2 linked regions of the Caenorhabditis elegans genome follow. The protein of the gene in region 1 purifies or fractionates together with the protein of each later gene. This does not show direct contact. Each region holds a gene or a part of one and is shown in the gene's direction. Other genes may lie near its edges.

The links. Proteins that work in one complex are often made in the same cells at the same time.
Region 2: the proteins of F35G12.12 (region 1) and rpn-9 fractionate together in Caenorhabditis elegans (co-fractionation; one large-scale study listed by BioGRID). This does not show direct contact.

The regions. Positions count from the first base shown.
Region 1 is NC_003281.10:4,580,176-4,584,085, forward strand, and holds F35G12.12 (26S proteasome non-ATPase regulatory subunit 5), read left to right. Parts: upstream 1-1,619; coding exon 1,620-1,655; intron 1,656-1,702; coding exon 1,703-1,803; intron 1,804-1,849; coding exon 1,850-1,958; intron 1,959-2,040; coding exon 2,041-2,322; intron 2,323-2,370; coding exon 2,371-2,562; intron 2,563-2,607; coding exon 2,608-2,665; intron 2,666-2,715; coding exon 2,716-2,916; intron 2,917-2,967; coding exon 2,968-3,078; intron 3,079-3,125; coding exon 3,126-3,300; intron 3,301-3,354; coding exon 3,355-3,565; 3' UTR 3,566-3,718; downstream 3,719-3,910. Other genes in the region: wdr-48 (WD repeat-containing protein 48 homolog), read left to right, coding at 1-162, 208-314, 365-463, 517-610, 665-812, 864-1,055, 1,105-1,390.
Region 2 is NC_003280.10:11,237,320-11,240,997, reverse strand, and holds rpn-9 (26S proteasome non-ATPase regulatory subunit 13), read left to right. Parts: upstream 1-2,078; 5' UTR 2,079-2,079; coding exon 2,080-2,174; intron 2,175-2,223; coding exon 2,224-2,803; intron 2,804-2,852; coding exon 2,853-3,239; intron 3,240-3,289; coding exon 3,290-3,391; 3' UTR 3,392-3,551; downstream 3,552-3,678. Other genes in the region: T06D8.9 (Store-operated calcium entry-associated regulatory factor), read right to left, coding at 175-430, 485-873, 926-1,155, 1,205-1,280.

The DNA.
Region 1 (3,910 bases):
GCCCATCAGCCCAACTTTCGATTGGAGGAGACGAAGATGGTCCTTCAACTTCAAATGCAAATCACTCAGTATCAGCTTCATCATCACCTCCAGTAACATTCAAGTATATCCGAGTGAAGGATCAAAAAGGACAACAGAGCACACCAGAGCTCGTTATTCCTGGTAAACAGACTATATGCAGATATAATTTTTAATCTGTTTATTCAGGCGCTCCTGCCATCAAGAAACATGCCATGTTGAGCGACAAACGACACGTTTTGACACGAGACTCGGATGGAAATGTGGCGCTATATGATGTTTTAGCAGCAAGAAAGGTTTGTCCCCATTATTAAAAGTTACTACTTGAATTTTGATAAAATTTCAGATAAAAGATTATGGAAAGCGAATATTTGAAGAAGTTGTCGATGAGAACTCTAGGCAAGTATACATTCCAAGCTGGTTTGTCGTTGATTCAAAAAGTGGAGTGAGTTTTAAGTTTTATAAATTTTTGAAAAATAAAACCCTATTCGATTTCAGATGCTCCAAATCACTTTGGACGAGCTGGACGCTCTCTCCTCGTGGCTTTCATCAAAAGACGCAGGTTTTGATGATAATGATCGAGAGACAAAACGTAAGATATTATACGAAAATAAAAACTTTCTCATTCCTTTGTAAGAAATTATAGTGAATTACGGTGGAATGATGCTACGATCACTCTTCGAACGATGGCCACCTTGTAAAATGACAAATGTTGATGCAGCTGATGCAGATGATGTGCAAAAAGCAACACTGAATTTTATTTCTCTACCGGAACACACACCGCTTATTATTTGGTAAAATTATTTGAAGGCTCAAATTTTAAACATTAAAAAAACTAATTTCAGCGAAGGAAATGGTCGTCCGCTCTACCGTCTTCTTGTTGGCGACGCTGGGAAGGAGTTCGAAGCAAATGAGCTGGCACAAATTGCACCCATGTGGGTTATAGACGCAATCGAACGAAATCAGCTGCCGAAATTCAATAAAATGCCATTTTATCTTCTTCCACATCCGTCGACAAATCCCAAACAGCCTAAAAAGTTTGTGAAAACGCGGGGTTCATTCATTAAAATTTTGAACTATTTTCAGAGATCGTCTGTCAGCAACTGAAATGCTTCAAGTTAAGAAAGTGATGGAGCATGTTTACGAAAAAATACTCAGCACTAATGATGGTAAGGTATTTAGAAATAAGAAGATATTAATGGTGTTTGAAGATATTACAGTTGGCTCGATTCCACTAAATCAAATTCATACAAAAATGGAAATGTACTGCAATGATCAGAGGTTGGAGCCGGATATGGATTTGCGAACAGTCAAGCATCTCTATTGGAAGCAAAGTGGAGAGCTTCTTCTACATTATAAACCAGTTAAATAGCTTTAACATTTAATTTAAGTTATTTATTTGAACATACTTATCTAACATTTGTACTTTATTGAAAATTCACTGTCTAACTTCTTTTTTGATACGGGTAAAACCGACTTTCAATTAAATTCCATGCTCTTTCCATATGTCTTTCTTTCTTTTTTAAAATTATGATGGTTTAACTACCAGCTTATCTTCATTTCTTGCTTAATATTTTTACCTCCTACCGTATTCGTTCCAGATGGCTAGTTTGGAAGAACATGAAAAACTGATCGAAGTAGGTTTTATTGAAATTTCTTCCAATTTTAAGCCAATTTTTTTCAGGAGTGGAGAAACGATTACATCGCAGAACGCAGTTCGAAAAAGGGATGGGAGATTCTGGAAAAACTTGCAAAGATGCAAATTGAAGCGGCTCAGCAAATGGAGTACGTTAAATGAATATCAGATAGTATCAAAATGAAATTATTTCAGAACAGAAGATGACGTGGCCGCTGCTGATTTTGATGACTTCAGCACCAGCAAGCTTGTAAAATTGATTATTGGAGATATTTCAACCAAAGATCTTCTTGTCGATCATCAGGTACCTGACATCAATTTTTAGACTATTCTAATCTAATAAAAAAAAATTCTAATAAAAATTGTAATATCTCAATCTTTTACAGATAATTCTTCTCGAATTCATTCCATCTGCACATCCGAATATTCTTCGCCATGTAGTCCGCACAGTCCGTGAGAAGGAAGGAGCGATTTCCCTTTTGAAGTCATCATCGGTTGCAATTGGAGTTGCATTTGCTCGAAGAGTTACAGATGCTGAAGCTGGAGAGGAAGTTGGACGTCTGATGGCACACCTCGTGGATCACGACTTGATTAATGAAGAGCTCAAATCGCAGCTGAGTGTTGCCAATGGAAGAGAAAGTTCATCCATTAGAAGTCGTATTTACTCCGTAATTATTTGAATTCTTAATTTGATAATTCATTGAAAAATTGTTCAGATTGCTACTGAACGAGCTCGCATTTCATCTAACACTTCATGCATTCATTGGCTCTACGACAAGATTCTTAAAAGTGTTCTAGATACTCAAGATGTTCTTGCTCAACTGGATGCTTTGGACACTTTCGTTGATATTGCACTTAGTGGAAAACAGAATGCAGAGGCTTTGTACGAATTGGGAATCGTCAAAAAGGTTTGAATTTGCAATAAATTTGTTTTTTTAATGTTATTCCTTTAGATTTATGAGTTGATGGAATGGTCGAAGGAGTCTCCAGATGGTGGGGAAATGTATTTATGTAAGTTACCAGTTCATTCAATTAATATTTAACAATATTTTTATCAACAGACGGAACACGTTTCATGTGTTATATGGCTCGTTCCTACCCACAAGTTCTTAAATATTTCCCTGATCTTGCACGGCGTCTCATGCTCGAAATCAGAATGTTCGATCAATTGAGTGTGGTCAGTCGTCTTGGAGCTTTCGATCATTTTGCCAGTATGTGCTTCTCTGTCGAGGCAAAAGAAACTTTGGAGGATATGTTCAAAGGTATTTTCCAAATTTTTCAAAAGCAAGATATTAAAAATCATATTGTTTCAGATTCAAAAGATCTTGAGAATACTTTGGGAGCTGCTGGTGCTGCATGTACGATGGGAACAATGGAATTGAAGTGTCGAACTCTTCAGGCCGTCACTCTCCTTTTCCAGAATAGTGAGCTTATTTAGTTATGTGGAATGTTTGAAAATTAATAATTTCAGCGACTGAAAAAATTGCTGAAACATGGTACGAGCGTCTCGGTGGAAAAGCATTGACACATGTAGCAGTTGGAAATGTTAAGAAGCCGTTCCCTGAGATGAAGAATTGTATTTATGATTTCTGGCAACAGTTGTTCACATATCCATCAGTTGTTCATCAGTTCATCACTTTCCAGGGGTATGTTAACGACATTTTTATGCGAGATTTTTTATTAAAATTGTTTTTTCTCAGATTCATTGACTGGGCATTGGACGATAAATCAGAAGATAATCCAGAATACGAAATTCGCAAACGTCAAATTATTCATCGAATCATTGAATTGTCGGAGAATACAAAGAGCGCCGAAGTACTCAAAGCTGATCCAGAACTGATTGGCCGTCTCAAGAAATATCTGCAACCGGCTGTTGCACCTGCTCCGCGTGTTGAGGAAATGGCTCTTTAGATTGATCTGTATATCCTGAATCTCTTTGACTATTCAATTTTTTGTTTCTTTTTCATCTCAATTATTCCAATACAGTATTTTATTGCCTCAAAAATGACTTGTTCGCCGTTAATTCATGTTCCGGTTTGAAGTTTTAATGAAATTTATTGATGTAATGTTTTTAATATAAGTCTTTACATATACTCTTGTGTTTGAAATCCCATTTACTTCAATCTTTAACGAGTTTTGAAAACTGAAATGATTGTTTCAAAGCTTCAGCGTCAAAAAATGAAATGCTAACAACGTGAAGGTTAAACGAATTTGCTATTTAAGTAAAACACACTATCGTGTTTCTCGCATTTTCGC
Region 2 (3,678 bases), on another chromosome or scaffold:
TTTCGCCTTCAATTATTATAACTTTATTCGTTAGTGCAATGCCAGATAATAAACGGAACGACGATTTTTAAACTAGCTAATGTACATTCGATTTTATCGAAAAGATGGACAAGACAAAGAAAAAGCAAAACTAGTTTTGTTTGCACCCGTACTTCTTGGATCTCAATAAGGAAACTATCGTCTCGTGGTGCCACCGTAACCAGAACTTGAGCGCATTGATGAAGTAGAAGGTGATGACCAGGAATCGGAACTTGAGAAGCCTGTGTCTTGGAAGAATCCTCTGTTGTATCGTGGACGGGCGTAGGCATTGTTATTGTTGAGGAAGCTGGATGCCAGGTATCCTCCAATGGCTCCTAGACTTGCTCCAGTCCAAAACGATCCACCATTGTTGGCGCCACTGCCACTTGCTCCTCCGCTAGAACTTCCCTGACTGAAAAACTTAATTTTAATGAAAATAAGGTCATTTTTATTTAAAATTCCTTACCATCCACCTCCAGATTGCGAGTCACCACGGAACCCATATGGCGGTGGCTTGGAGTAGTCGTCATATGGTGGAGGAGCACTTGGATAACCACCTGGACCACCACCTCCTCCGCCGGATCCTGGGCCTCCAGGACCTCCTGATCCACCAGAAGTGTAGCCAGAGCTTTCTGGGTTCTGATTTCTGTTAGTCCACATCGCGTAGATAATGTAGGCGATGAAGGCGACGACGACGAACGTGGCGAACTGATCCCATCGATCCTGGGATGACTTTCGAGAAACTGATCTGTTACCGCTCGCAGAATTGTACTCGAGCTCATACTCCAACCCGCAAGATCCTCTCAGGATGTATGGATCCTCTGCGTAATCGTATCCTTCACATGAAACACTGATCTGAAACAAGAAACATTTTTTGAAGCGAGATGGAAATATTTAAAAAACTAACGGATCCGAATTCCATATCATGTGGCAAATCTGCATCACATCTCCACTGCACATCCGAACCATCAAAACCTTGATTTGCACACTGAACCACCTTTGGGGTGAAGGCACCTTTCGCGGATCCACCGACACACTTCAACTGGAAGGTTGGAGAAACTCGTCGTCCTGTCGTCATTTTTCCTTTGTGTAGAGTAATTGCTGATACATCGCGAAGAAGAACTTTGTCAGAGGCCGCTGAAATTCATTTGTATTATTGAAACAAATAATCAAAAGAAAAACTTACCAGAAGTTTCGAAGAATACCACTGTGAACACCAGAAGCATCCATAAAAGGAAACTCGTTGTAAATCGAGAGATCATCTGAAAAAAGAAACTAACAATTAGGAATTTTGAACGAGTAATCAATAGAAAGTAGTATGAACATTGAAATAGTACCGGAAGATAAGAACGAAGCACCAGAGATTAATTTTGAAGCGTTGCAGTGAAAGGGAGAAAAGATGATAATGAAGAAAACGAATGATAGGATATGTGACGTGTAACAACACGGAATTTTCAGAAATTTCGAAATACTTGGATCATTTTTTTGCAAATCAAGAAAAAAGATAATACGAGAATAAGCGAGGAAAATCTATTGGATGGACACAATTTTACAGCAACGCCTTTGTTTGACATAATTTTTATTCAGAGTTGCGATTTTTATCAGATTTCGCTATAAACCAAGAAGAAAACACACAAATCTGGAAGGAAAACCTGAAAAGCTGTGTTGCCAGCTGGCGGATAAATCGAGAAGGGTGTTCGCACTTTAAAAACAATATCTTCTGTTAAAAAACAATAAAATAAATTAAGAAAAATAAATTGTTGCAAGCGCGCCCTATCGCATATGTTGAAGAGACTGTAGACGCAGACATATGGCCGTGACCGAAAACATTGTCTTTCGCGTCTCGATATTTCCAAAGTGAAAGGCCATGCGCCTTTAATTGCTGACAAATAAAATTCAAAAAAAGTTTTTTGTTTTGATTTTTGTGAGAGCGCGCTCGCCAAAAATGTTCATTTTAGCTATTCGAAATCCATTTTTGTTTTGATTGCTCCTACTCCTTCATTTTCTTTCTTCTTCACTCATTTCTCGTCTCAATTTTTAATGTATCGAGAATTTCTCAGGATGACTGCTCAAGACTACCTCAACGGAAAGCTGGCGGCTGCCAATGGACCTCTGGCCGATGACTGGAAGAATCTCAAGGAGCTCTGGGAGAAAAAGTAAGAATCAATTGTTTTTGTAGACACAAACTATTTCACTAATTTTCAGGCTCTGGCATCAACTAACGGTTCTGACACGATCCCTTGTGAAGAAGCCACAATTTGTGGCTTCAACGGACATGCACGAATTCTACAGACTGTTCGTGGCGGAGTGGGAGCTGCGTGTCAACCCTCTTCAGCTCGTCGAGATTTGCATTTCGATCGCCCAAAATATCGCGACAAAGGACAAGCAAAAATCTATGGAATTCCTGTCAAAAATTGGAAACGTCATCAACAAGGACAAGATTGCCGTTGCTCGACTTCATACCGGAGAGATTGAAGCCAGACTGGAGAACAAGGACAAAAATGGACAGATTATTGATCTGAAGAGCATTCGAACTCAAATCGATTCGACACAACACGAAGTGGACTCACTTGTCGGAGTTACAGAAGTTCATGCCCCGTTCTACCGCGTCTCATCTTTATATCTTCGTGAAGTTGGAGACTTCGCTGGATATTATCGCGAAGCTCTTCGTTATCTTGGAGTTGAGGACGCCAATAATCTGACAACAGAACAGAAGCAAGTCCATGCGGTTCTTCTCGGTTTCGCTGCTCTTCTGGGAGAAAACGTGCACAACTTCGGAGAATTGGTTTGTTGAAACTCTCAATTTAAATTCCCCCAATAAACGGTTTTTTCAGCTTGCTCACCCCATCCTCAAATCGCTCGAAGGAACTCGTGAACGCTGGATCGTGGACGTGCTTCTTGCCTTCAATTCGGGAGATTTGACGCGCTTCTTCTCGCTCGAAGGAGATTGGGGAGGCTGGGACGATTTGAAGAAGCAAAAGGATTTCCTGACTGCCAAAATCCGTCTGATGGCTGTCATGGAACTTGCAGTCTCTCGTCCAACCAAAGCCAGAAGCGTTTCATTCAAAGAAATCGCCACGAAGTGCCAGATCCCATTCGACGAAGTTGAGTTCTTGGTGATGAAGGCGTTGAGCAAGGATCTCATTCGTGGAGATATCAATCAAGTTGAGCAAGTTGTCTACGTGACATGGGTGCAGCCAAGAGTTTTAGATAATCCTCAGGTATAAGAATTGATTATAAGTTTTTAAAATACTTATTTTCTTTTTTTCAGATAATGCAAATGGCGACTCGCATTTCCGCATGGAGGAACGATGTCAACTCCATGGAAGGAATCGTCAGCAAAGAGGCACGCGAGATTCTCACTCAAAATTAAATCATCTCATTTCTTTAATTTATTTTCTCCATGCTCCCCCATCCCAATCCCGGAATCCTCTATTTTTATAATTACACTGCTACGTGTATTCTACAATTTCAAGATCGTTCAGTCTTCTTTCTGTGTGTATTTATTTGAATTCATAAATTAATCGACTGTGAATATATTGAATTTTCTCGATGTCAGATGTGACTAACACCGTGTCAATAGTTCACTAGTACTTTTCAATACTTAACATTCGGGTTCTCTTCGTCTTCGAGTAATGTAGTACTGTGATTGTTCCAGCC